7 linked regions of the Bombyx mori genome follow. Each later gene encodes a partner of the first gene's protein in a complex. Links are inferred from orthologs where the notes say so. Each region holds a gene or a part of one and is shown in the gene's direction. Other genes may lie near its edges. The genes, in order: mrg, ruvB-like helicase 1, bromodomain-containing protein 8, vacuolar protein sorting-associated protein 72 homolog, histone acetyltransferase Tip60, transcription-associated protein 1 and PHD finger protein 12.

Region 1 (3,948 bases):
GAACTACTATTCAACAGTGGCTACTGTGATCTGGAATTGCCGATGCAATAGCCACTTCTTCCTACACGAGTAGTAGATAGCCGTGTCATTTGCGAAAAGCGCTAGATGGGTCTCCGCAGACCGGGGTATATCATTGATATACAAACTACATAATAACGGGGAGAGCGCGGAGCCTTGTGGGACTCTGGCCGTCAGATGACGGGGGCGAGAGTGAGCTCCCTCTACTCAATATCGAAACGAACAATTCAACAAGTCTCGTATGATGAGCACGAGTCTGTAGTCCCATGTTATACAGTTTGTATATGAAACCGCTAATTTTTGTTGAAGTGAAAACAACGCAAAAAAAATGTGATGACAGTATACTATGCTGCGTTCCGTTTTAAATAGTAACCAATATATCTAACTATGAAGGAACAGCTTCGCTATATTGACATCCGACTTTACAGTACTCGCAGTGCAAGCTAGAACATAACCGAAGGGTGGTAGTTTATGGCGCTGTTTTTTAAATCTTTCCACTTGCTTCTATGGCGCCAGCTTAATTATATTCCTTTCAGCAGACACTTTTTATTATACTGAGATGGTACTTCTTAGTTCTACCCTCCATATGTGTAGCAAAGACTAGATAAAACTTTAATATAATGCTGCGTAATACAAATACAGAGAACACACATAGACAAATTGAATAGTTCCAGAATTTCAATTAATGATCGGAACATAGCCTTCACTGCCATCTAGTACATTTCAGTTTGTTTAAAACTGCTGTGTTCATATCATTTGCACTTTCTATACTAGCGATATTTCGGTGAGTCTTCGAACAATATCTTACCGTTTAGAGGTGGAGACTTTTTCAACTTGTCCTCTATACAAAATGATATTCCTTAGTTCTATCCTCCATGGCTACACAGCTACCTAAGGCAAAACTGACTAGTTAACAAGGATGCCCATTTTCGCCCTAAATTTATATAGCTTAATATGTATAAAGCAGGTTAAAATATAATTCTATAGTTAATTATTATTGTAAATTAACTTTATTTTCATTTTATGTGTAACACAGGAAACATTTGGCAGTATGGTCTTTTACCTTCGCCTTTCCTCTTTTGTAAAAATTAAACGACTCAAGTCACAAGTCAGTCAGCCATTTGTAAACTGTAAACAAATAATCACATTATGTAGCAATGGCACCAAAGTTAAAATTTGCTGAAGGTAAATTATTTTTAGTACACTATTCAGTATAAATGTTTAGAATCAATTAATTTATTTGAAAATATTTATCGGTTTATTTACCGTAATTTATTTCAATGCAAATTCCTTAATTTCAGGTGAAAAAGTGCTATGTTTCCACGGACCGCTAATTTATGAAGCAAAATGTTTAAAAAGCTCAGTTACAAAGGACAAACACGTGAGGTATCTTATTCATTACGCGGGATGGAACAAAAAGTAAGTCATTTGGATGTCAGATTTGACGAAAATTAAGACAAGTAATGTAAACGAAATTTGTTGAACGGTGACCGATTGAATCACGAAGACTTGAAAGGATTCAATAGTAATTAGTATCTACCATTAAAGTATGTACTATTATTTTATAAAAACCTGCAAGCTATACATTATAATTCATACAATAAAGCTTAAGTTAAGAAATTTAGTGATATTCACAGTATTTTATTTTGCTGTTCAAAATTATAATCATATAGCACCACACCAAAAATTTTATTGGTTAATGTTAAACTGTTAAACAATAATATATTATAACATTGATCAATAATAACACAAGAACACATGAAGTTCAAAACTACACAAGATTAAAAACTCACCGACTTAAAAACAAATTAAAGGATTGCATCAAAATATTTTAACAATAAAATTAAAAGTATTTTATAGAAATCTAACTTAATAGTCTTAATACTTATAATAAAATTACAGTGGACTGAATCCATACCACTAAAATTATTAGTAGATTAATAAACATTAAATTTAAACCAAATTTATTTAGCTGTATGATATGAAAAACTACTGAAAAGAGAAATACAAATTGTATATTATAAATGTCTTAATGTTATTTCAGTTGGGATGAATGGGTGCCTGAAAGCCGTGTTCTGAAGTACAATGAAGCAAATGTACAAAGGCAGAAAGAAGTCCAAAGAGCTCATTCCGCACAACCAACTAAAACTAAGAAAAGTTAGTAATTTACACCGTTTTCTAAGTTACATTTAAAAATATTTGGAACCATGGAAATATTTGGTTTTATAATTAAAAGAAATAATACCATTAAACACTGGATTGTCTCTTGCAATTCTAGAGGGTGGTGCAAGTATAAGGATTAAAAATCAGTTGATTTGTACATATTTTATGAATTTGAAAAATACTTTAAATTTTTATATATAGGAAAACAAATCAGATTTAGAATCTGTATGAACTAGTATAAGATATTGTTGTTACTTTGATTTATTTAAATTAACATTTTCTTAGTTTTGCGAGTTTGACAGTAAAGTAGACATGATAAGAAAAAGTCTGTTCTTATTTTTATTAGTTCATCCTGGCATTTTATGTACTGTCTATACTTTTATAGTTTTTGTGATAGTTACAAATGTAAAAATATGACAACAGGTGATTTATAGTTTTAATGGGTATTACTTCTTGATTTTGCAATAGATTCTTGAAAATTAAATAAACCAATATGATCATTCTGTACAACAGTCTAAAAATCTGCAATATTAAATACAATTGCAGCTCCCGCAAAGGGTAGGAAATCTGATGCAGCAGTTGCTGCAACTACTCCAGCTAGAGAAGAATCAAGAGCATCTACCCCTGCGAGTAGTACTCAAGGTATTTTTGTTATCATTAACAGAAGCTTGCTAAGGTTATTAGATTTGGAAGCCTAAAAATTCAAGATGAATAAGAAGTCGATAGCTATAGTATTATGGTGTTTTTATTGATGTATCAAAGCTATGGACACCAGGAACCTAATGCTTTCCAATTAGTGTTTTTTTTTTTTTTATTTGTGGATGAAAGTCAGCAAAAGGTAACTTAAAAAAATTAGCAATTCTAAAGTATGTTACTTCTGTTTAGCAAATTATTAAAGTGTGTCAGTTTTGTCTCGCCTTAGTTTTTGTTTAAAATAAAATTGGATCTAATCACAACGAGGAGAAGCTGGGATGGATTTTGAAGGATTCCTTTTACTCACATTAAAATTTTCTCTGGAATGGCCTGCTTATTTCGAACCATATGTTTTGACAAACAAAGCGATGTTCACACTGTTTCACTTTATTGTTATTATTATTATATTTTATTATTTAATTATGAACTTAAGAACATGTGTTGGGTAACAAAGCAGTTCACTGTGTGTGTGTCTTTATACAACCCGCACTTAGAAATCCTTTTATTAAAAGAAGAACAGATATCCTCACTAATACAGTTACGAAGCAGCTTGTTGCTGATTTAAAGGATAGGACAGCTGTCATAAGAATGCAATTCAGTTCTCGACCCACTAAAAAGATGTATTCCAACAGGTAGTTGGTTTATTAACGCAAATAAAAAAAAAAAAAAATTATAATGACAAAACAAGTAGGTATTTAGGAAAATGAGTTCCCATTGTAAATATAGTTGGCATTCAGTGTGAGATCCAATTTAAATTTTATCTCTCATTAAAACTCATGTTAATGTTTTCTTTTCAGTAAAAGAGTCCGATAGTACACCAGCTCCCGCAAAAACAACTAAAACTCAGAGTAAAGATACACCTGCTGATTCTGGATCTGATCAACCTAAGTATGTCTGTCCGTATGTTTAACACACACTCACACGCATATTGCAATCTTTTGGAACCTACTCATGTTCCTACACAGGTTCACCTACTTAAGTTCATGCTTATATATAAAAGTTGATAATTATATATGTGTACCGCTTTAACATTCCATACAATTTTGGGGTTCAAAAATAGTCGTCTAATAATGG
Region 2 (4,225 bases), on another chromosome or scaffold:
TTAATCCCCTCTTTGGATGATAATCAACTTTGAACTTGTTTCCTAGGCTGAAGAATATGTTCCGCTACCCAAAGGTGATGTACACAAAAAGAAAGAAGTTGTACAAGATGTAACCTTACACGATTTGGATTGTGCTAATGCAAGACCGCAGGGAGGTCATGACATTATGTCTATGATGGGACAACTCATGAAACCAAAGAAGACTGAAATAACAGGTGTGTTACTTTATAATGTTTAGAAGTGGTATCTGAAAAAGTATAATTCTTAATTAAAAAAAAGGTCAATTGCTAACTCTCGTTCTTTCTGAGGTATTTTACTTTTTGTTGTGTTTCAGATAAACTTCGAAAAGAGATCAATAAAGTTGTGAACAAATACATAGATCAAGGGATTGCAGAACTGGTTCCTGGTGTGCTATTCATTGATGAGGTAGGTACACATATATACTGAATAAAAGTGATTAAAGCTATTGATATATTTTTTTTGCATTAGATAAATAACAAAACTTATTTACTTCAGGTACACATGCTGGACATTGAAACTTTCACATACCTACATCGAGCGTTGGAGTCCGCGATAGCACCAATTGTTATATTTGCTACAAACAGAGGGCGTTGTCAAATCAGGTAAATTTTAAGACTTACTATTGATTATTTATCAAACTTAAGTATTCATTGGCAGTGGTCAGTGACCCTTAATACTTTATCACGATGTCCGACCTTATCGTTTTCCGTGTGCATAGTAAATAAATATGTATGCTGTTATTAATTAATTAATTTATTTTCAAATTAATAAATGACAAAATGTTGAATGTCTATGAATATGATTCTAATTTTTTTTTTTTGTTAGTTATTTACATTTTTGGTACAATTAGTGGCGCGTAGCATTTCACTCTTACTGCAATTTTAATAACCCTAATTTATTAATTTGTGTGTTTTCCAGAGGGACAGAAGACATTGTATCACCACACGGCATTCCACTAGATCTATTAGATAGGTTATTAATAATACGCACTCTCCCGTATAACAAAGCAGAACTTTTACAGGTATGTTTCTGTATTAGCCTTAACCGTTTTAATTGTTTTTAAATTATAATTTTAGAACATTATTTTTATAGTTAGTGACTGCTTCATGCTAAAAATAGTAGACGTACCTAACTATAATTATGCAAATTAGAATTTTTGTGGTGTTTGATTTATACCACACATTAATTGCATTGTAGATTTCGATTTGTTTAAGGCAGAAATATTAGGTGGTCAGTTCTGGCTCATCATAAGGCACCTGAGGCCATCTTTTTTAACTTTCGTTGACTGCGTAACAACTGGATGAGATATTATGCTAAATAAATTACAAGAAATATGAATGATTGAATGAATTTAGAAATGTGAATGATAAAGGACAATGCCCATATTATTATTAGTATGGAGCTGAAAGACAACAATGCCCTGCAAGGCCCAAATTGCAGCTCTATGCCATATGATAGATTTTTAACAGTATTTATATGATATCTAGATTTAATGTCATATAAAGCACAGGTTCAAAAGATATTGGACATTAAACATGATAACTTCCTAGTGGTTTTTTATCCATTTTATCGCTTACAGACTACATTGCTGTTAGTTTTTCACTAGGAACTTCATGATCATCACATAAGCTAAGCCAGATCAGTGTTCTTTTAAATACTTATCTGTATGCTATCTGTCTATGCGCACAAAAACTACCAAAAAAAGAAAGGAAATCGGTCAACGAGCACTACTCCGACCGCACCGTCACTTCTCTCGCAGCAACCTTACGCACAACACCTGTGTACCTGTATTATTGTCACGGCCGTTATTTCAAATATAATTTGGAAGGAAAAATAAAATATTAATTTCGTCTGTACACCACTGCTTGCCTCCTCTTCCTCGCCAATACTATCAAATAAACATGTCAGTTATTTGGAAATATCTAGTTTGTCTCCATTGTATAGTGTCAACCAGACCGTAATAAATAAAGCATGAATTAATGATTAAAAAAACGATGATACGTACTGCAATGTCAATAAGAAGTCTTATTTTTTTAAATTTTTTTATCCAGTGCTTCATATGATTTAAAATTAACAACATAATTCTAGTTTTTATTTATTAGAGCAATTTTGTAATATATGTACTTTAACTGGGCGTTTCTGGGGCACAAATGGGTATTGTCCTTTGAACTAACAAACAACTATAAGTTGCAAGTGCCTATTTTTATATCGTATAAATCGTGTTTTGTTAAAGATATTAAAGCTCCGTGCGGTCACAGAAGGAATTTCAATCGAGGACGAAGCTTTGTCGGCGCTCTCTGAGATTGGAGCTCACACGACGCTCAGGTTAATGAACATTTGTATTTTCCGTGGTTTTCGTTAGTCTTCATCATGATGGCTTATTAACATGCCATATAATAACAATAAAAGTGATTTATTTTATCCCTATATATGTATACAGGATGTTAAGCAAAAGTATTATAGTAACAATATTGGTAGATAGTAGATGGTGGACGAGCGCACAGCTCATCTGGTGTTAAGTGGTTACTGGAGCCCATAGACATCTACGACGTAAATACGCCACCCACCTTGGGATATAAGTTTTAAGATCTCAGTATAGTTACAACGGCTGCCCTACCCTTCAAACCGAAACGCCTTTACGGCAGAAATAGGCAGGACGGTGTTACCTACCCGCGCGGACTCACAAGAGGTCCTACCACCAGTAATTACGCAAATTATAATTTTGCGGGTCTGATTTTTATTACACGATGTTATTCCTTCACCGTGGAAGTCAATCGTGAACATTTGTTGAGTACGTACTTCAGTAGAAAAATTGGTACCCGCCTGCGAGATTCGAACACCGGTGCATCGCTCAACACGAATGCACCGGACGTCTTATCCTTTAGGCCACGACGCCTTCAAAATACTTGTTTATACGACTTATTGCAGGTACTTATGCTTTTACGATTTCTTACAGGTACGCAGTTCAGCTGCTAACTCCGGCGATGTTGGCCGCGCGAGCCGACGGCTGCCAGCGCATATCGCCGGCGCACGTGTCCTCGGTCCACACGCTGTTCCTTGACGCTAAAGCTTCAGCCAAAATCCTCACTCAACATTCCGATAAATACATGCAGTAAAAATAATACAAAAATATAGAGTAATTTGAATATCAGATAGATAGGATGCTTTTTTACGTTCATATCGATAATGTCAAACTGTCCATATATCAACTCACGCGCTGGTAACAGCAGAGCACGCACGTGCACGAGGTTTTCCTTCTGATTTACAACTTAGTAAAACTTGTTATCTTAAATCCTTGAATTTAAGATTAATGTAGCAAAATATTATTTTGACCAATGTTTGTTACAGTTTTAAAACGGTTACTTAAAAGGCAAAACAATCTTTTTAATTTTTTAAAATGATGTTAGTCTTTTCCAATGCAAATAATTATAGATCTATTCAATTAATTATAGAGTATACCGGTATTGTCTGGGAGTATGAGTATGTTTTTGGTGCTTAATATTTAATGAATCTTTAGACCGGTATTTTCTCTATACCTCTCGCCGTATTATTCATAAAACACATGTGATATTTACGTTTAGTATTTCATAATTCATATTTGTAAGGAAATGAAGAATGTTGCGTTAATTTGGAGTCAACCTTTATGTTTGTCGTATTAAATGTGAATTTAACAATAAATGAAACTGGATTTGTGTAATAAATAAGTTTTTTTTTTATTCATACAAAACGTCACCTATTCTAAATTTGTCTAGACAATCGTTATTTACATAATGGTTTTTTACTGTTCAGGCATATTCAGTCAACGTTGTTAATACTAAACAATTGGCATTATGACTCTAAGTGACAAAATTAATAACAATATGTTTTTAACAATACGCCGATTTGGTATTTCGTCCATGATATTTACAAGGAAATAATTTACAAATGTGTACCTATATGACTACTTAAATTACACGTCATGAAGACGTTTGTCCTACGGGTAACTACTTTTTCACTGTCGTAGTCGAACTGGGGGCTGCTGTCGACGTGGGAGGGGTAAAGGTAGGCAGGTCGACACGTAGGTCTTTGGGCGCGGCCGTGTGGTGGTACAGAGCCTCGAACTGCATCTCCTCAGGATACGAGTGCGAACGAATCTTGCGCTCGTCCCTCACGTTACTCGGATATACTATAACGATTTTCTCGCCGTCGCTTCGAAGTGCCACCG
Region 3 (4,031 bases), on another chromosome or scaffold:
GGCAGAGGGGAAACTCGGCGGGACATAGCTCATAAAATTAACTAAAGAAAAACTAAGTTTCAAGTTACACACAAAATATATGTATCTAAAATTTGAGAGAAATTAATGTGAGATATTATTTTATTTTCCGGAATTCCTTAAAAATAATTAAAAAGTCGTTTGAATGCTGATAATTAATTTCGTGTGACTCGTTTCAGGCCTAAATGACAAACATGACCCTAAACGCATACTGGGAATAATAACCTATAAGGACTTTAAAAGATTAGATTTTTAATTGTGTCGAATCGGTAGGCGATTCTAAGGCTCACTTGGCACGCGATTATCATCCCTAACGCCCCACGACATAGACAACTCAGTGGATTGTGGAAAATAGTGGAAATATTTTTTTATTTTTTTATATCTTAGATGGGTGGACGAGCTCACAGCCCACCTGGTATCAAGTGGTTACTGGAGCCCATAGACATCCACAACGTAAATGCGCCACCCACCTTGAGATATAAGTTCTAAGGTCTCAAGTATAGTTACAACGGCTACCCCACCCTTCAAACCGAAACGCATTACTACTTCACGGCAGAAATAGGCAGGGTGGTGGTGCCTACCCGCGCGGACTCACAAGAGGTCCTACCACCAGTAATTACACAGATTATAATTTTGCGGGTTTCATTTTTATTACACGATGTTATTCCTTCACCGTGGAAATCAATCGTGAACATTTGTTGAGTACGTATTTCATTAGAAAAATTGGTACCCGCCTGCGGGATTCGAACACCGGTGCATTGCTCAACACGAATGCACCGGACGTCATATCCGTTAGGCCACGACGACTTCAAAAAATATGTCATAGATCTATCTTATTTAAAAAGTGTATTAGAGTCTAACTATCATAGATTTATACACTTAATATATTCGAGATAACTATACTGAGACCTTAGAACCTATATCTCAAGGTGGGTGGCGCATTTACCTTGTATGGGCTCCAGTAACCACTTAACGCCAGGTGAGCTGTGAGCTCATTCCCCCATCTAAGCAATAAATAAAAGAAATAATAATAATTGAACACGCCAACTAACAAGCCGCTGAACGTAACTTCTCGGGATCCTCCAAAAATTTCACTGAAAAAGTCTACAATGAAATGACAACCATTTTAATGAGATTATATATTTTCTTCCTATATCATCTCATCTTAATTGATTTCTTTTTCATTCCATTTCGTTTTCATTTCATTTGATTTCATTTCATGCCATGTTTTATATTAATCAACTTCATTTATATGTAAAATTATAATATGAAATAAAATATTATAATTTTACATATAAAAAAGTTTTCATTACAATTAAAATAAGACTTGACCCGAAGGTCTTGATAACCAGGTCATTAAATACTTTAAAAAAAATATATTTGTTTTGTATCATGTTTGACGTTTGTATCATAGAATAAACACTTATTAATTGTGTTCTAAACAGTTAAATAATAAAATAAAAATAATATACTTTCAAAACAGTAAATACACATTACATGGACAATTAAACAACTATAAATAGTTATGTAATCTCGAAACTCCATTTCCAAAACATAACCTCAAAATGAGCTCGATACAAGAGCGTCTTCAGCTCAAAAGAGTTCCTCTGGACACTTGGAATATACGTGAACAGCTATGCCTGGCCTCCGCCGTGGTCAGAAGCGGGGATCAGAACTGGATGTCGGTTTCCCGCGCTCTAAAGACCCTTGGCGAGCCAAACAGGCCTCCGGACTGGTATTCCCAAAAAAGGTTTTGTTTTTCTTTTATATCTACTATATAATTATTGATACAGGTTTGAAATAGCTTGCGATAGTGAAGTGGTGGCTGAGTTGATGAGAAACACATTCGTTTTTACACATTTATTTTTTATTTTCAAACCATTTTTGCATTATTCACCAATGAAAATTCCACCACGCTTTCCACGTTATTTGAACTCGATAAAACTTAAAATTATATTCAGTAGAGCTATTATAGTATTTAGTAGGCTATAATAGGTCAACACACACTCCTCTCTCTCTCATATCGTCATTCACACACTCCATCCATGTCTTCTTTGGTCAAGTTTTCCCCCTCTACCTTGCACTACAATTTCCATAAATCTCCTAGTCTCATGCATCTCCTCTCTACGCATAACATGTCGATACCACGTGAACTGTCCGCTCTTTAAGTCTTTCCACTCGCTAAAAGACACCCTCTATAACTTTGACAACATTAGGATTGGTTAAACACAGCTCTTATATTATATGGCGGGTGGCCCCAATAATTAAATGTTCAAAAGAAATGTTAATACAACATTTTGACAAAACAATAACACCGAGTTAAACAAAATAAAATGAGATCATTGTCAAAAGCCAATTGAATATTCAATATTATAAATAATTTATAAAAATATATTATCAAATAAACTAAAATAAGTAGCATATATAGCAATAAGTTTGTTCTACACACACTTATCACATTTTATTATTATTCTCATTATCCTCTCGCAGGTCTGCTGGAAGAGATTTCTCAAAGAAATAAGTAGTGCCTTTGTACATAATTTTCCTATTACTCTGTACTGTGTCTTGTTTTCTGTGTGTACATAAATAAATAAATAAAATAAATAATAAAATAGCACTAGCTTTAAAATAAAATCATTTAATGTAATTACACTTTGGAAAGAGTTCTGATATAATGGCATATAAAAAGAGTCTAACTAAGTATGTACCTTCTTTATTTAAAATCTATGAAAAAATTTAAATTTTGCAGATTGCTCCTTAAATCCCCAGTAAATTAATCCTATTCATAAAAAAATTAACAAAATTACAAATAACTTATTTGAAAGACACTAAAGCTCTAATTAATTATATTCATTCTATTATTTTAAATAGTTATATTGTTTATGAGCTTATTCAATCCATATCAAACTGCGTAGATGTCATGTCTTCCTCTGAAGCATTGGATAGCTGAATGATAATGAGATTTAGATCTACAAGAACTGTGGGCTCCGTTATCCGTATGTCATTAACACATTTCCATCCATCAGCTGTGCTGCACAATATGGAACGCTATTAGAACATGTGGAAACGCCGAAACGAAAAAAGAGAAACTCTGACGGTGGCGTGGAAACTCCACAGGAGAGTATATTGAAACGTTTAACCCAAGATCGGATAGCCGAGATCCAGAAGAATATTGCTGAAATGAGTCAACAACATGAAGTAATGAAGGTATTTAATTTTCAAGTGAAACTTCTTTCTTTCTTCTTTATGAGGGTAAAATTTTTACAGAACGTCACGCAGGTATGCAACGGAAGGACATCAAACTACTATTAAAATTAAGTACTTGTCAAATGTCAGTAGTAGTAGTTGTTGTATTTTTCCAACTGGAAAGGCAAATGTATCATATCATACAGCCTAATATTTTATTTTTTTGTGAAAAATGTTAATAGGAATTGAAATGAAATGAAAAGAATTTGGAACATAGCATGAAATTAAATTAGTCAATTCAATTGGCAAAATATTAGTCATCTACAATTTAGAAATCTAAGCATAATGTGAATGTCAACACTGAGGTTTGAGATTGACATTTGACAGACTTTTGGCGGGAACATATCTTCCTTTTTCCCTTCTTCTAAGTCTTGGAAATCTAAAGTTTTAGATTTGCATAAATATAAGTAAGACTTATAAATTAGTTCGCCAAAAAAGTTTCACTTCTGACATGTGTACTTTGTACGCACGCACTTTTTTTTTTTTATAAATCTCAAGCTTTTTATAAAACTTTAAGTGCTGTCAGAGTTGTTAAGTATTGGCTAATATCTGACCATTTAGTGACAGTTCGGTGTCAACATCAACATCAACTTTTAAAAGGTTTTATAGCCTAGTAATGAGAGTTTTAAGTCAAAGTCTTATTTTTACACACCAGTGCATCGCTACATACGAATGCACCGGACCTCTTATCCTTTAGGCCACGACGACTTCACTTTGACTCATAAATATAAGCTAGTAATATATCTTTCTTTACCTTTGTACCACAG
Region 4 (2,398 bases), on another chromosome or scaffold:
CCACCAGCTTTTTTAATTCTGTAGGATCAACTAATCAACTAACATAAAATGGACCAACGACACATATTTTTTTTTATTGCTTAGGCTGGTGGACTAGCTCACAGCCTACCTGGTGTTAAGTGGTTACTGCAGCCCATAGACAGCTACAACGTAAATACGGTACCCACCTTGAGAAATAAATTCTAAGGTCTCAGTGTAGTTACAACGGCTGCCCCACCCTTCAAACCGAAACGCATTACTGCTTCACGGCAGAAATAGGCAGCGTGGTGGTACCTACCCGTGCGGCCTCGCAAGAGGTCCTACCACCAGTATAAGTAAGTATATACGGATGTAAAATATAAACTAATTTAGTTGTATGTATTGTTGTATGTTGTAGTTTCATAGTATTTTAATTATATTTGTTGTGTTTTCAGAACGTTTTGAACAAATCGAACTAGAACGCAAGAAGATTAGACCGATCAAAAAGACTATAACTGGACCCGTACTAAAGTAAGTACTCATTTAAATATATTGATATATATGTCGAGCGGTGAAAGGCTTATTTGGTTTAAGCGACATTTTTGCAACTTTACAGTAGAGCCATTTAAAGTTTAAAATTTATAAAAAACTAGCCGCACTCGCCCGCTTCGCTGCGCATTTAAAATTAACATTATTATTTATTGTCATTATTATTAGAGAGTCCAACCATATCGACGCTTGAAAGGCAAACGTGACTAAGCGACAATGCGTGAACTTTACAGTAGACTAATTTAAAGTTGAAATACCTGAAAAAAAAATATATTTTAACGAATCTAGCTGTAGGATTAAAATGATTTTAATAGACCTAGAAATATATATTTTTTGTGCATCGAATATGGCTATTGCCTATCATTTATGTACAAAGCAGTTATTGTCGCTTAGTCACGTTTGCCTTTCAAGCGTCGATATAAATACTAGCTTATCCAATAAGTACATGTACTTTCTACATGGATACAAAGTTTCAAGTCAATAGGATGCATGGTTCAGTAGGAACATCCGTAAAAATCACTGTAGATTTATATATTAGTATAGATATAAGAAAAGACTTCTTCAGCTATTTGATTGGAGTAGACTTAATTGAAGTTCAATTAAAAATATGGAATTGTTGAAGCTGATACCAAATAAACCACACCTTTAATTACAAAGATAAATGTCGGGTAGTAAGCGAAATGTCGCTTAAACCAAATTGGCTTTCACCCCTCGATGTGACATATTAACACTATTAGTTCAACTTTTTTTTTATGGCTCACATTGTTGGACTAGCTCACAGCCGACCTGGTGTTAAATGGTTACTGGAGCCCATAGACATCTACGACGTAAATGCCGCCACATACCTTGAGATATAAGCTCTGAGGTCTCAAGTATAGTTACAACGGCTGCCTGGCCCTTCGAACCGAAACGCATTACTGCTTCACGGCAGAAATAGGCAGGGTGGTGGTACCTACCCGCGAGGACTCACAAGAGGTCCTACCATCAGTAAACTTTTAACTTTCATTATGCAATTAATTTCATAGGTACCATTCATTTGCTGTGCCCGTGTGTCTCAAACGTGACGAAGTAGATAACAGTGCGCCGCCACTGGACATAAGCATAACTGATAACATAAAAAATGAAGACGGTAAGATTATTTATTATTTACACTGTTTTATGAACCCTAATGATCATATACCGATTTCAATAATACTTCAACAATTTTATTGTAGAAAATGATGAACTATCTATCTATTTCATATTCAGTATTAAAAGTATAAGAATATTGTGAGTGAAAAAAATCATAACCCAAAATCTAGTAAACAAATGGCAATAATATAGGCATTATTATGAGTTCTTAATATGAATTTCTTTTTTTTAAGACCTTAATTTGAAATAGCAATAAATCCATTTAATACAAATAAACAAATAATATTTTAAAGTGGATTGTAGATAAAAAAAAAAAGTTTAAAATTAATTCGTAAATCGTGATTTAGATAACTATAATAAATAAATAAATGCTTTAATAGCAAACCGAACTTCCGATCTAGCACATGAAGCTTTCTAATGACAGTATTATAATTTATTTATTTATTACAACACTGTACATAAATAATAAAATTCATGAGACAAACTTAATTGCAGGTGTATTAACACAAGCCGATTTGGATGCTCCTGATGAGAAAATCGATACAGATCGAGTTGAGACAAAGGAAGAGCAGACCGAAGACCTTCAAACTAAAATGGAGATAGACGTGATCGGACCTGATGATGAAATTAAAATTGAAAGCGTTAATATGTATGTAGTGATTTTTTTTATTGCTTAGATGGGTGGACAAGCTCACAGCCCACCTGGTGTTAAGTGGTTACTGGAGCCCATAGACATCTACAGCGTAAATACGCCACCCAC
Region 5 (3,500 bases), on another chromosome or scaffold:
ACATCGAGATGATAGAACTGGGACGGCACAGGATACGACCTTGGTACTTCGCGCCATACCCCCAGGTGAAATGCATTGTTAATTAATCGCTATCGGCTTTAAATATTTGTTAATTAATCGCTATCGGTTTTAAATATTATGCATTTTATAGAGAAGTCTGTTTTTCACTGTTGACCTCTGTGGGCTTCAAGAAGACCAGGTGTGCCGTAATTGTCTGTTGGACTAGAGCAGCGGCTTTCAACCTTTTTTAGCACTTCACATATTTAAATGCATAGTTTTTTTTTTTTATTGCCCTTGTAGGCAGACGAGCACACGGCCCACATGATGGTGAGTGGTTACCGTCGCCCATGGACTTCAGCAATGCCAGGGGCAGAGCCGAGCCGCTGCCTATCGCTTAATACTCTCCACAAGCCTCGTTTGAAGGACATGTCATAGCGCTCGGAAAAAAAACCGTGGAAGGGAGCTCATTCCATAGCCATAAATAATAGTTGTAGGTATATTTATATATGTTAACGGAAATGTATGTAATCCGTCATTGTATACAATTCTTAGGAAATGTATGTAATTCCTAAAATCGCACGGAAATGTGTGAAATAAATTATATTATACTTACACATTACACATTTCCTAGGAAATCTATACATTTCCTAAATAGCAATCGGAAATGTAAAACATTTAAGATATTGGTGGGTATGCGGGGACAGCGGGACGAGTCTTGCACTACGGTCAGTTGCCAACTTGCAATCCACTGGAACCTTCCAGGGACTTAAGAAGTGCCTTTGCAAGAAAAACTGTGCTACATCAAGATGTCTGTGTTTTAAAAATAAAGTATTATGTACTTCCAAATGCCACTCGAGCTTACCCTGCAAAAATAAATAGCTATATGGACTGACAAAGTATTATCATATAAAGATTTACTTTTATACTTTGACATTTATAATTATTTAATTATCAGACTGATTACTTGCCAAATGAAAATTTGATTTTATAAGAATAAATATAAGTTGATTTTGTGATACGTTAAAAGTTAATAGATAGTTGATTTTAGAAGTTTTAATTAGTAAGATAATATGAACATATTATTATTATTTTACGGTATGACTGTTACCCGATTGTCTCAGTAAGTGTTATATTAAAAAAATATTATTAACAACGCGTTTTATTACAGAAAGCATTTACTTTATACATTTCCTAATACGATATTGGAATTATATACAATTCCGAGGAAATTTATACATTTCCTAGGATATCTATGCATTAAATAGTTTTTCAAACAATATTTTATACATTTCCTAAATAGTATCGGAATTGTACACATTTCCTAGGATTTGTATACAATTCCTTGATTTCATACATTTCCGGTAACATATACATATTTATTAAATTAAATATTAATAATCTACTAAACAAAGTTGTAAAGTTAATATGTAGTAGACAATTATATATCTCCGTCATATATACCGCAGAGATGCAATTCCTTTGGGTAACCTTAGATAAAATTGTCATATTTGTAAATCTTGCGACATACTTGGTACACCACGATCCGATGGTTGAGAACCACTGAACTGGAGCAATAAAAACTCTTTTCGAGCTTAGTCATCTTTAGATATAATAATATATTAAAGCAGCTCAAAATACTTTTATTAGTGCTATCGAATTCTCAATGACTATTTATTTTATCAGCGGTAATAAAACTATGTTAATAAATAGTGGCATTAAATTTAAACTAGACATTTAATAATGAATTAAAATTATACTTTCAGGAAATGGTGAATCTCCCTTGCATATACATCTGTGAGTTCTGTTTGAAATATAGGAAAAGCAAAAAATGCCTCGAAAGACACTTGGTAAGAAACTTGTGTGTCGTTTTAATAACGATTAATCATATTGTATATATTAAAGTGTATTACCGGCATCGGGCTTCTTAAGGAACTTTAAAGCCTTCGTCAAACAGAACGCGTACTAAACGTCGCGCTCTTTTCATGTCACACAAATTGACTAGATGAGTCCAACGCTCCTTGACGCAACGCATTCGCCAAATCATAGTGCCTTTCGATAGCAGTGAGAAAATTTAAAAGTATTAAGAAATCGAGTAATTCAGATGTGGCATTGTATAAGCATGGGTATTTTCTAACTATTTATATATTTTTTTCGGGCATTATCTAGTATTTTAATACACATTCACTCAGACGCCAAAATAAAATTTGTAAAAAATTACAATGCCTGACGTCAAACGTCCTAACGCCGCGACAGAGCGCTGCGTACTTATAGCGCTGGGGCTCTGTTTGACGGTATGTTACCATAGTAGTACAACACATCTCGGCGTCATAGCGCGGCGTCAGTTTAGCGCTCTGACGCGCGCTAATTACGCGTTTAGAGTTCTGTTTGACGAAGCCTTAAACTTTTAATTAAATAAGTCTTCTGAAGTCATCGTGGCCTAGAGGATAAAACGTCCAGTGCATTTTATATCGAACGATGCGACAGTACCGGTGTTCGAATCCCCCAGGCAGATAACAATTTTTCTATTTTTTATTTAAATAAATTAACAAATGTTCACAAATGCATGATGTTGCATGTTGCACGATGAAGGAATAACAGCGTGTAATATAAAAAAAAACAAACGCGCAAATAAATTATTTTCGCAATTACTGATGGAAGGGCGTGTTGTAAGTCCGCACGTAAATAGTTACCATCACCCTTGAAGGGCTTGAAGGGTGGGGTAGTTTATTGTACTATAGAAAGAACTGAGACTTGAAACTCGTGTTTCAAGACGAGCATTTAGCTACATTGTAAAAAAACTGAAAACTTACATTTTACGTACTTGTGAATATTAGTGGTAGTCGAAATTTCGACTATAATTAATTGAAATTGTATATTTAAACATTATTATGGTTCTATTGTCAAACACATTAAACTTCTATAATATAATCACATATTTCGCCAAAACTACACTATAGATAAATATTAAAGGCAAAGAATATTAATCTTTTTATTATTTTATTGCTTAGATGGGTGGACGAGCTCACAGCCCACCTGATGTTAAGTGGTTACTGGAGCCCATGGACATCTACAACGTAAATGCGCCACCCACCTTGAGATATAAGTTCTACGGTTTCAGTATAGTTATATATATATCTATTCTCAAGTTGACCACAGATTTTAAACATTAACAAAAGTTTGACAAATGACAATAAAACAGAGTATATATTTTATACGTATGTGTTGTGTCAAATGCATGGTAGTGTGTGTAACGTTTTTATTTATTGATTTAATGTATTATGCATAATTAAAAAAAAAAGTATTATTCTTCACTCCTACTCTATATTCTCTTATAAATGTGGAAAATTTCATACTCCTCCGTCCGCGCAATTTTCGTAAAAATGGGTATAAGGTTTTTGCTCCACGTATTAATATATAGATGTAATTCTTATTTCCAGATCAAATGCAAACTAAAACATCCGCCGGGCAACGAGATTTACCGCAAGGGAAGCATATCGTTC
Region 6 (3,500 bases), on another chromosome or scaffold:
GATCGGAAACGTGACCCACTGAGAAGATCCGGCGTGAAACTCAGTGGGCTGTGTCTGAGGGTAAATTTACTCGTCGAGCCATTCGTCGCAAGCAACGGATTCGACGACAACGATGACCACTTATTTATTATAAATGAAACCGTCGCTAAATGTGTTTTCACTTATCTATTAAAATATATAACTGTAGTATCAACAATACTTAAAGTTAGAGGTGGATAGAATGAATGATGCGCAAACAGTATTATGAATATTGACTAACTTGTATATTGAGTGCTAGGGAATCGTTTCTCTAAACGAAGCCAGGTTTGTAGTACTTACTGTTGGTTTCTAACATGACTTCTAACAAAAATAGAGTAATTGAATATTGTATTTTATTGGCTAGGTGGTGCGATGACCTCCGAACGGTGGACGACTGTGGGCTGTTGATGATGTATTTTATTATGCTGATAATGATCCTCCAGTGTCGCATTGTATGAAGTGTTGGGTTGCGTGGCCAGGGCTTGGTGCACAGCCGGCCGACGTCCCTGCACGACATGAAGGCGATAGTGAAGACGTGGCGCAACCGGCTGCCCGTGGTGGCGGACCCGCTGTCGCACTGGGGCGCCATCTTCACGTGGCGGCAGCACCACTACCAGTTCATCGCGTCGCACTACGACTCGCAGCCGGACCACGCCTCCAATCACAGCATGCTTGGCGTCCATGCCAGCGCTCAGGTCATTTTTTATTCCTTACTAGCTCTCTCCCGCGACTCCGTCCGCGTGGAATAGTTACTTTGGCATAACGCTAAATTTTACCCACCCACTTCATTTACGTAGAGCGTGAAAATATTTTTGAATTATAGAATGTTAAAGAGCTATTTAAACCCCTATTTTGAAACATCCTTTATTGGTGCTCCACTGAACGTGTCCGGTCTTACCGTGATGTTATATGGCCTATAGCCTTCCTCAATAAATGGGCTATTTAACACTCAGATTAAGGCGCTCAAACAAACAAACTCTTCAGCTTTGTAATATTTGTATAGATTATCTTAAAACAGAACATATCATATTTTTTATTTATTTATAGACTGCATGTTTACACACTTCATCTTAACACTCGAACGAGTAGGTACAAAGAGAGGTTAATTATACATAGTTTTCGGTTTAAATAATAGTATGGGTACTGCCGTTGTACCAATGGACACTTGAATTTTGTCTCAATCACAGTAACGGAATTTAAGTTAGGGTTTATTTGGACTATAGTTGCTGCTTAATCGTCCTATACAAAATGCAGTCATACAAAATGGTATGCAAATTCGAGTTTAAATTCATTAAATTCATACATACGTGCAAATCAAGATAAAAAAAATTAAATCATTATTTTTTTCTTTTCTTGCAGGCCATTATTCACTTTGCGAAAATAGCTAGAAAACATAACCTATCTGGAGTGTGTCTGGATTCCCTACACAGAATTTACACAATACCGAGCGTACCGATCGTTGACTGCTTCCAAAAGATAAGGCAACAAGTCAAATGTCACATTCAGATGTCATGGACCGAGGGCAAAGATGAGCTCCAGGAAGGATTGGATATGATCGAATCAACTAACTTCAAATATTTCACTAAAGAAATGACGGCCGAGTTTTATGCTTTCAAAGGATTACTTCTAGCGCAGCTGGGCCGCTCCGACGACGCGAACAAAGCGTTCGCCGCCGCGGTGCAGCTGCACGACACGCTCGTGAAGGCCTGGGCGCTGTGGGGCGACTACTTGGAACAGATATTCATCCGCGACCCGCGACAGATCTCCGTAGGCGTCTCCGCCATGACTTGCTTCCTGCACGCGTGTCGTCATCAAAATGAATCCAAGTCTAGAAAATATTGTGCCAAGGTAAACAACGAACACGACGTTATTAATGTTACACGCTGGGATTCGGGATAAATAAAATTCCACCGAAGTATAATTCAAAACTGTAATCAACACTTAGAAAACTTAAAACACTTAAAACTCTCAGTTCGCTTCTTTCGCTTCGCTTCAGGTGATCCGTTCGCTGTTTCGCTTCGAGTAGTTCTGATTACTGACTGACTGCGTGTTTTTTTTTTTTTTTTTTCCCTACCTATGCTGATAGCCTTGAGAGGCTATTTCAGCTTGCCCTAGCTTGTGTAGGTGAGCTCGCGGGGCTCAAACCGGAGAATTGCTAACACCGCCCTAGCAAGAGCAGTGCTTCGCAGAATCTACCACCGGATCGGAAGCGCGACCCACTGAGAAGATCCGGCGAGAAACTCAGTGGGCTGTGTCTGTGGGTTAATTCGCTCGTCGAGCCCTTCGTGGCAAGCGACGGGTTCGGCGAGGACGGTGACCGGTGCTTGTATTGCCTAAAAGCACCGTTAGTGGATCAGGAGGATCCGTGATGACGTGCTTTGGGCGACGTCGACGGTTTACCAAACGGTCTACAGGATCGGGTATGTAGTTTCCGGCGGCCACGACAAGAGGGTTCTCATGTCGTGCCGCCTTCTCAAAGTGGCGCAGCGATGCCGACTGTAGATACTTACTGATGACTGCGTGCAATCCCTGCAACGCTTTTATACTCGATACCACATCCCTAGAATTATCGAGAATAGTCCACACATCTCTAGTATTGTTTCCGCTATCTGACAATAGATGGCGATGGGCTTCTCGAGCGTTCTAGGGCTACTAGATCCTTCGATATTCGTTCGAATATTCGGCGATAGATGGCGTTACTCTTATCGGCGTAACATTAATATGATACATCGTCTCTTCAGGTTAAATAACCAAATCGTTGTTCTAGGTGTTATGGATGCTGAGTTTCGACGACGAAAAGAATAGTCTCGCAGAAGCATTAGATAAATACTCAGTCGGAGTCCCGCCTGTGCAGTGGCTGCCCTGGATACCGCAGCTGCTGGCCTGCCTCGTGCAGTACGACGGCAATGTTATACTCAACCTGCTCAGTCATGTGAGTACTCGCTTACTTATTGGTTTCGTAATATCGCCGCCGTCAAAGTCGAACTGATAAAGTTCAGTATATATGTATATAAGAAAACTTGTTATTTATTTTTATAGAAAGTTGAATATTGATTATATTGTTTGATGTTTTTTTTTAATTTTGTAACTCAGGTTGGTCGATTATATCCACAAGCCGTATACTTCCCAATCCGAACTCTGTACTTAACGTTGAAGATTGAGCAGCGAGAGCGTCACAAAACAGCCGAGAGCATTGCACATTTACCGCATCAACCTACCACGTCTGTAAGTAATTGCTAATAGAAATTCGAATTGCGTTGCATTTTATAGTAACATTTCCATCAAAACCACAGTTAAGTCTGCATAGTTAGAGTAGTTATCACCCGAGAAACTGCCCTGTGTTTCGTTTTCCGGGGATATCTATTGCCGTAAAGTATTCGAACTATTTGTATGTTTTTCACATTCTAAGTTGGGAGTGGTGACCTATTTTTATGGATTTTATGACCTGGTAACTAAGACCTTTAGATCAAGTCTTATTTTAA
Region 7 (3,500 bases), on another chromosome or scaffold:
AAGGGTGGGGCAACTGTTGTACTGTAAAAATTGAGGCCTTAGATCTTATATCTCGAGGAAGGTGGCATTATGTTGTTGATGAGCTCCGGTAACCCTTTAACACGAGGCGGGTCGTAAGCTTGTCCATCCATACAAGGAATTATAACATACAACATACATCTACATTAAGCAAAAAATAATTAAAATATCATACTCATTGGAGTCACTAGCCACCATGAGTAGACATCTGTCGCCCCTTTTCTGAAGGAGCTATCTTTGAATGTTCAGAAGCTAGAGCCGGGCTTCAGTGCGAACATTAATGTTGATGCAAAGCTCGTTATTTCAACGCGGCTCTGACACCGCCGAAGTGTGTGTGGGGACGCCGTGGTGGTAACACAAGCTCGTGGTGTACAGCGCGGGGCCGGGCGACTCCCTGGGCCGGCCGGTGCCCATGCGGCTGTCGTCGCTGACCGTGGGCTCGGACAGCGGCTGTGACGTCACACTCGACCCCGCCCTTTGCCGGTGCGTCTCCCGGAACCACGCCGTTATATTCATGGACGAGGTCAGTTAAATACTTTGCTTTTGTTCAAATATTAATGACGCCACTCTACGCAGCACGAAGAAATCTCCCTGGCCGAACACAACCGGCGCCCCCCTTCCACGTCCCGCTCGGCCCTGGATGTCAGAAATCTTCGTATTTTCGTCTTTATAATAACCGGCAAATTTCTTGAGCATTTGTTGACGTAGTGGGGGTAAGTTTGCGCATGGTACACTCACGTGCAAAAACATTACTTACTCTGCGTCATAATGCTATTAAATTATTAAAATCAACATATGTATTTATTTATATATTTATTAGAACATCAACAAAACATATAGGTTAATAATTGTAATAATTTAATCTTGGGGTAAAATAGATATTCCTTCTATTAAGTCAAAACTAGAGCTGTTGCCAGGTCTTGGTTCAGTTAAAGCGAAGCTGGTATTTGTAATTTTTTTTTCGTTATCATAATCTTGACCATCATCATCATCACTGTTTTCATCACCCGAGTCGCTATCATCGTGATGAGTCGACATAGGGCTCATCGGCGTAGTTTACAACTCTGTCGATTCGGTCTTCTTTTTTGTCTATAATTAATTATTTTTTGAAGATATTCGATTCGTAGTAATCGAATGTTACTTTTTTCATTTACCAGCTTCCGATTATTTTCTGTTCTTTTTTTCCATCTGAAGCCTAGCTCTTTCATAATTCGTCGTAAGCTTCATTCCGAGCCATTAAAATTTATATCTTCTTTAAATTCTTCGAAGCCTTTCTACGGTACGGAGTTTCGCTGCTTGTTATGTAGTTATTATGATTACATCTTTTTATTACAGATTGAACGAAACTATCCATTCCGGTAACTTTCTTCTTCCCTGATCTTTTCTTACCCGGAGTCCGAAACACTGCGAGCAAGCCAGAGCCTTTAGCTTCGTTAATAATACACCTAACAGTACTCACTGATGTTTTTGTTGCTTCCGAAGTCTGTTTTAATTTTTCCATATCATTCTTCCCCTGTTTTATAATGAAGCAATATACGTCGTACACAAATTTTCTACCCTTTCTTTTAAGTACTACACAAGTTTGTCGCGGCATAGTGTATTTTTTATAAAAAATCAACAAATACTCAACAAATAGCAATGGCAACAAAGTCAACAAGCAATTATAACAAAATTTATTAACGATTAATAACGATAGACTTTTCACTGTACGCAAGCGTACTTTTGGGAGCAAGCGGAACGAGGGCGCGGTGCGGGACGCAAGGTTCGACTGATCTACCAATAACGCGCTCGATACGATTTCCCCTGCCGTCGCGCCTCACCCTCACCACCAAAGTGATCTAAAATTCGGTTCTGCGCAGTCAAGGTCATTTGCTCAAGAAGTTTGCCGGTTACTATATCAAACGTATCTAGCGATGCACCGGTGTTCGAATCTCGCGGCGGGTACTAATTTTTGTAATGAAATACGTACTTAACTAATGTTCACGATTGACTTCCACGGTGAAGGAATAACATCGTGTAATATAAAATCAAACCCGCATAATTATAATTTGCGTAATTACTGGTGATAGGACCTCTTGTGAGTCCGCACGGGTAGTTACCACCACCCTGCCTATTTCTACCGTGAAGCAGTAATGCATTTCGGTTTGAAGGGTGGGGCAGCCGTTGTACTGTTTCAAGTGAGGCCTTAGAACTCATGTCTTAAGGTGGCTGGCAGCTACGTTGTAGATGTCTATGCGCTCCGATAACCAATCAAAACCAGGTTGGATGTGAGCTAGTCCGCCCATCTAAAAAAAAAAAATGTGTGCGTGTACTAGTGTACACACGTAAGAAGTGAAACTTATTTATGGCCTTATTTTTCGAAAAATGATCTACATGCAACTTTCTAGAAATTGGTTAAATAAAGTTAAATTAGATAAAGTTTAAACAAAAGGATTTTATTATCATAGACATGAATACAAAAAAGTTAAATTAGATAAAGTTTAAACAAAAGGATTTTATTATCATAGACATGAATACAAAACAGATGGCGCGTAACGGAAAAATGTGACGCGTAACCGAAAAATGTGACGGTAAATTTTTTTCCAACGCCGATAAGGAAGTTTCACTTCAAAAAAAAGGAAGACTATATACTGGAAATTCAATATGGGTACTCATAAAGCCTTGTGCTTTTATTAACATCACATGTTGTTTTACAGGTGAGCGGACACTTCGAGCTGATCAACTACTCCGAGTTCGGCAGTCGCGTTAACGGCGTGCTGTACACGTGCGACCCCCTCGCCGCCGCCCCCGCCCCCACCCCCGCGGCGGACGACGCTCTGCCGCGCGCGCTTCGAGATGTCGTCAAAGAGAAGGACTCCCCGCTCGACAGGTGCCAAATTTTTTTCTGTGTCTAATAATAACTGAAATTCATGTTATTTACGACTGACCGGCTGCCGTACCTAGACTGCCGATGGCTTCGTCCTTGGGGTAGGCCGCGCGTCTGGCTGCAATGTTGACTGCCCAGGTTCTGACCTCGGGGGAGATCGGACTCTTGGTCAAGAGTGTACCTGAATCGTTTAGTGGTTATTGGCCCTAAATTCCATTTCTTAAATCCGTGGTCTGCTCCCAATATCTGTGGATCATTCAGCCTAACATACCCCGTACGCCCCCTAGGGAAGGGGACCTTGTAAGAAGGGGTCTAAAAAAGGGGCACTGGGCCCAGGGACAACTAGCACTTTAATGGTTGCATTTCTACTGCCGTTACGTTTGTTTTTTTATTGCTTAAAAAAAGGCTAGTAACAAAAGACAACCGCTCTGTTCTGTCATCCATAACATGTTATATATCTCACGCATTGTTACAGGATAAAAGGTGACATCACGGAGCCCACGTCGTGGTGCTCGGCGTGCTCGTGCGGCGCGGGCGCGGGGGCGGGGGCGGGTGCGGGCGCGGGCGCGGCGGCGGGCGCGTGGGAGGGCTCGGCGCTGGTGCCGCACGGCGCGCT

The links.
Region 2: mrg (region 1) and ruvB-like helicase 1 share a complex: the UniProt entries of both Homo sapiens proteins name them as parts of the nuA4 histone acetyltransferase complex. The link is inferred for Bombyx mori from reciprocal best matches to the Homo sapiens genes MORF4L1 and RUVBL1.
Region 3: mrg (region 1) and bromodomain-containing protein 8 share a complex: the UniProt entries of both Homo sapiens proteins name them as parts of the nuA4 histone acetyltransferase complex. The link is inferred for Bombyx mori from reciprocal best matches to the Homo sapiens genes MORF4L1 and BRD8.
Region 4: mrg (region 1) and vacuolar protein sorting-associated protein 72 homolog share a complex: the UniProt entries of both Homo sapiens proteins name them as parts of the nuA4 histone acetyltransferase complex. The link is inferred for Bombyx mori from reciprocal best matches to the Homo sapiens genes MORF4L1 and VPS72.
Region 5: mrg (region 1) and histone acetyltransferase Tip60 share a complex: the UniProt entries of both Homo sapiens proteins name them as parts of the nuA4 histone acetyltransferase complex. The link is inferred for Bombyx mori from reciprocal best matches to the Homo sapiens genes MORF4L1 and KAT5.
Region 6: mrg (region 1) and transcription-associated protein 1 share a complex: the UniProt entries of both Homo sapiens proteins name them as parts of the nuA4 histone acetyltransferase complex. The link is inferred for Bombyx mori from reciprocal best matches to the Homo sapiens genes MORF4L1 and TRRAP.
Region 7: the proteins of mrg (region 1) and PHD finger protein 12 are in contact, whole or in part, in a cryo-EM structure (PDB 8BPA), measured with the Homo sapiens proteins. The link is inferred for Bombyx mori from reciprocal best matches to the Homo sapiens genes MORF4L1 and PHF12. Residues at the interface, in NP_996670.1 of Homo sapiens: Glu201, Lys204, Pro205, Leu207, Val208, Asp209, Trp211, Asp212, Tyr251, Ala252, Glu255, Val256, Gly259, Ile260, Glu262, Tyr263, Val266, Met267, Thr270, Gln271, Leu272, Leu273, Tyr274, Lys275, Arg278, Pro279, Tyr281, Ala282, Leu285, Arg304; in NP_001028733.1 of Homo sapiens: Cys62, Glu64, Gln81, Cys82, Asn84, Pro86, Pro204, Leu206, Arg207, Arg208, Pro209, Phe210, Leu212, Leu213, Ile214, Ala216, Ala217, Arg220, Asn221, Pro222, Thr223, Gln224, Phe225, Gln226, Leu227, Pro228, Glu230, Leu231, Thr232, Thr330.

What each region holds. Positions count from the first base shown.
Region 1 is NC_085127.1:11,194,657-11,198,604, forward strand, and holds the start of mrg (mortality factor 4-like), read left to right. Parts: upstream 1-1,148; 5' UTR 1,149-1,175; coding exon 1,176-1,203; intron 1,204-1,319; coding exon 1,320-1,437; intron 1,438-2,062; coding exon 2,063-2,175; intron 2,176-2,727; coding exon 2,728-2,823; intron 2,824-3,671; coding exon 3,672-3,762; intron 3,763-3,792; exon of another isoform or gene 3,793-3,948. UniProt on the Homo sapiens protein: Component of the NuA4 histone acetyltransferase (HAT) complex which is involved in transcriptional activation of select genes principally by acetylation of nucleosomal histones H4 and H2A.
Region 2 is NC_085128.1:12,881,644-12,885,868, reverse strand, and holds the end of ruvB-like helicase 1, read left to right. Parts: intron 1-46; coding exon 47-215; intron 216-334; coding exon 335-426; intron 427-516; coding exon 517-623; intron 624-939; coding exon 940-1,042; intron 1,043-2,254; coding exon 2,255-2,346; intron 2,347-2,977; coding exon 2,978-3,137; 3' UTR 3,138-3,725; downstream 3,726-4,225. Other genes in the region: uncharacterized protein LOC101739682, read right to left, coding at 4,005-4,225. UniProt on the Homo sapiens protein: Possesses single-stranded DNA-stimulated ATPase and ATP-dependent DNA helicase (3' to 5') activity; hexamerization is thought to be critical for ATP hydrolysis and adjacent subunits in the ring-like structure contribute to the ATPase activity.
Region 3 is NC_085117.1:1,939,524-1,943,554, reverse strand, and holds the start of bromodomain-containing protein 8, read left to right. Parts: upstream 1-1,231; 5' UTR 1,232-1,583; coding exon 1,584-1,768; intron 1,769-3,044; coding exon 3,045-3,225; intron 3,226-4,031. Other genes in the region: uncharacterized protein LOC101740762, read left to right, coding at 1-35. UniProt on the Homo sapiens protein: May act as a coactivator during transcriptional activation by hormone-activated nuclear receptors (NR). Isoform 2 stimulates transcriptional activation by AR/DHTR, ESR1/NR3A1, RXRA/NR2B1 and THRB/ERBA2.
Region 4 is NC_085112.1:12,275,051-12,277,448, forward strand, and holds part of vacuolar protein sorting-associated protein 72 homolog, read left to right. Parts: intron 1-413; coding exon 414-489; intron 490-1,532; coding exon 1,533-1,636; intron 1,637-2,133; coding exon 2,134-2,287; intron 2,288-2,398. UniProt on the Homo sapiens protein: Deposition-and-exchange histone chaperone specific for H2AZ1, specifically chaperones H2AZ1 and deposits it into nucleosomes.
Region 5 is NC_085124.1:9,221,765-9,225,264, forward strand, and holds part of histone acetyltransferase Tip60, read left to right. Parts: coding exon 1-65; intron 66-1,763; coding exon 1,764-1,847; intron 1,848-3,437; coding exon 3,438-3,500. UniProt on the Homo sapiens protein: Catalytic subunit of the NuA4 histone acetyltransferase complex, a multiprotein complex involved in transcriptional activation of select genes principally by acetylation of nucleosomal histones H2A and H4.
Region 6 is NC_085110.1:5,834,481-5,837,980, forward strand, and holds part of transcription-associated protein 1, read left to right. Parts: intron 1-497; coding exon 498-713; intron 714-1,377; coding exon 1,378-1,866; intron 1,867-2,785; coding exon 2,786-2,950; intron 2,951-3,111; coding exon 3,112-3,243; intron 3,244-3,500. UniProt on the Homo sapiens protein: Adapter protein, which is found in various multiprotein chromatin complexes with histone acetyltransferase activity (HAT), which gives a specific tag for epigenetic transcription activation.
Region 7 is NC_085122.1:14,108,160-14,111,659, reverse strand, and holds part of PHD finger protein 12, read left to right. Parts: intron 1-393; coding exon 394-541; intron 542-2,714; coding exon 2,715-2,887; intron 2,888-3,359; coding exon 3,360-3,500.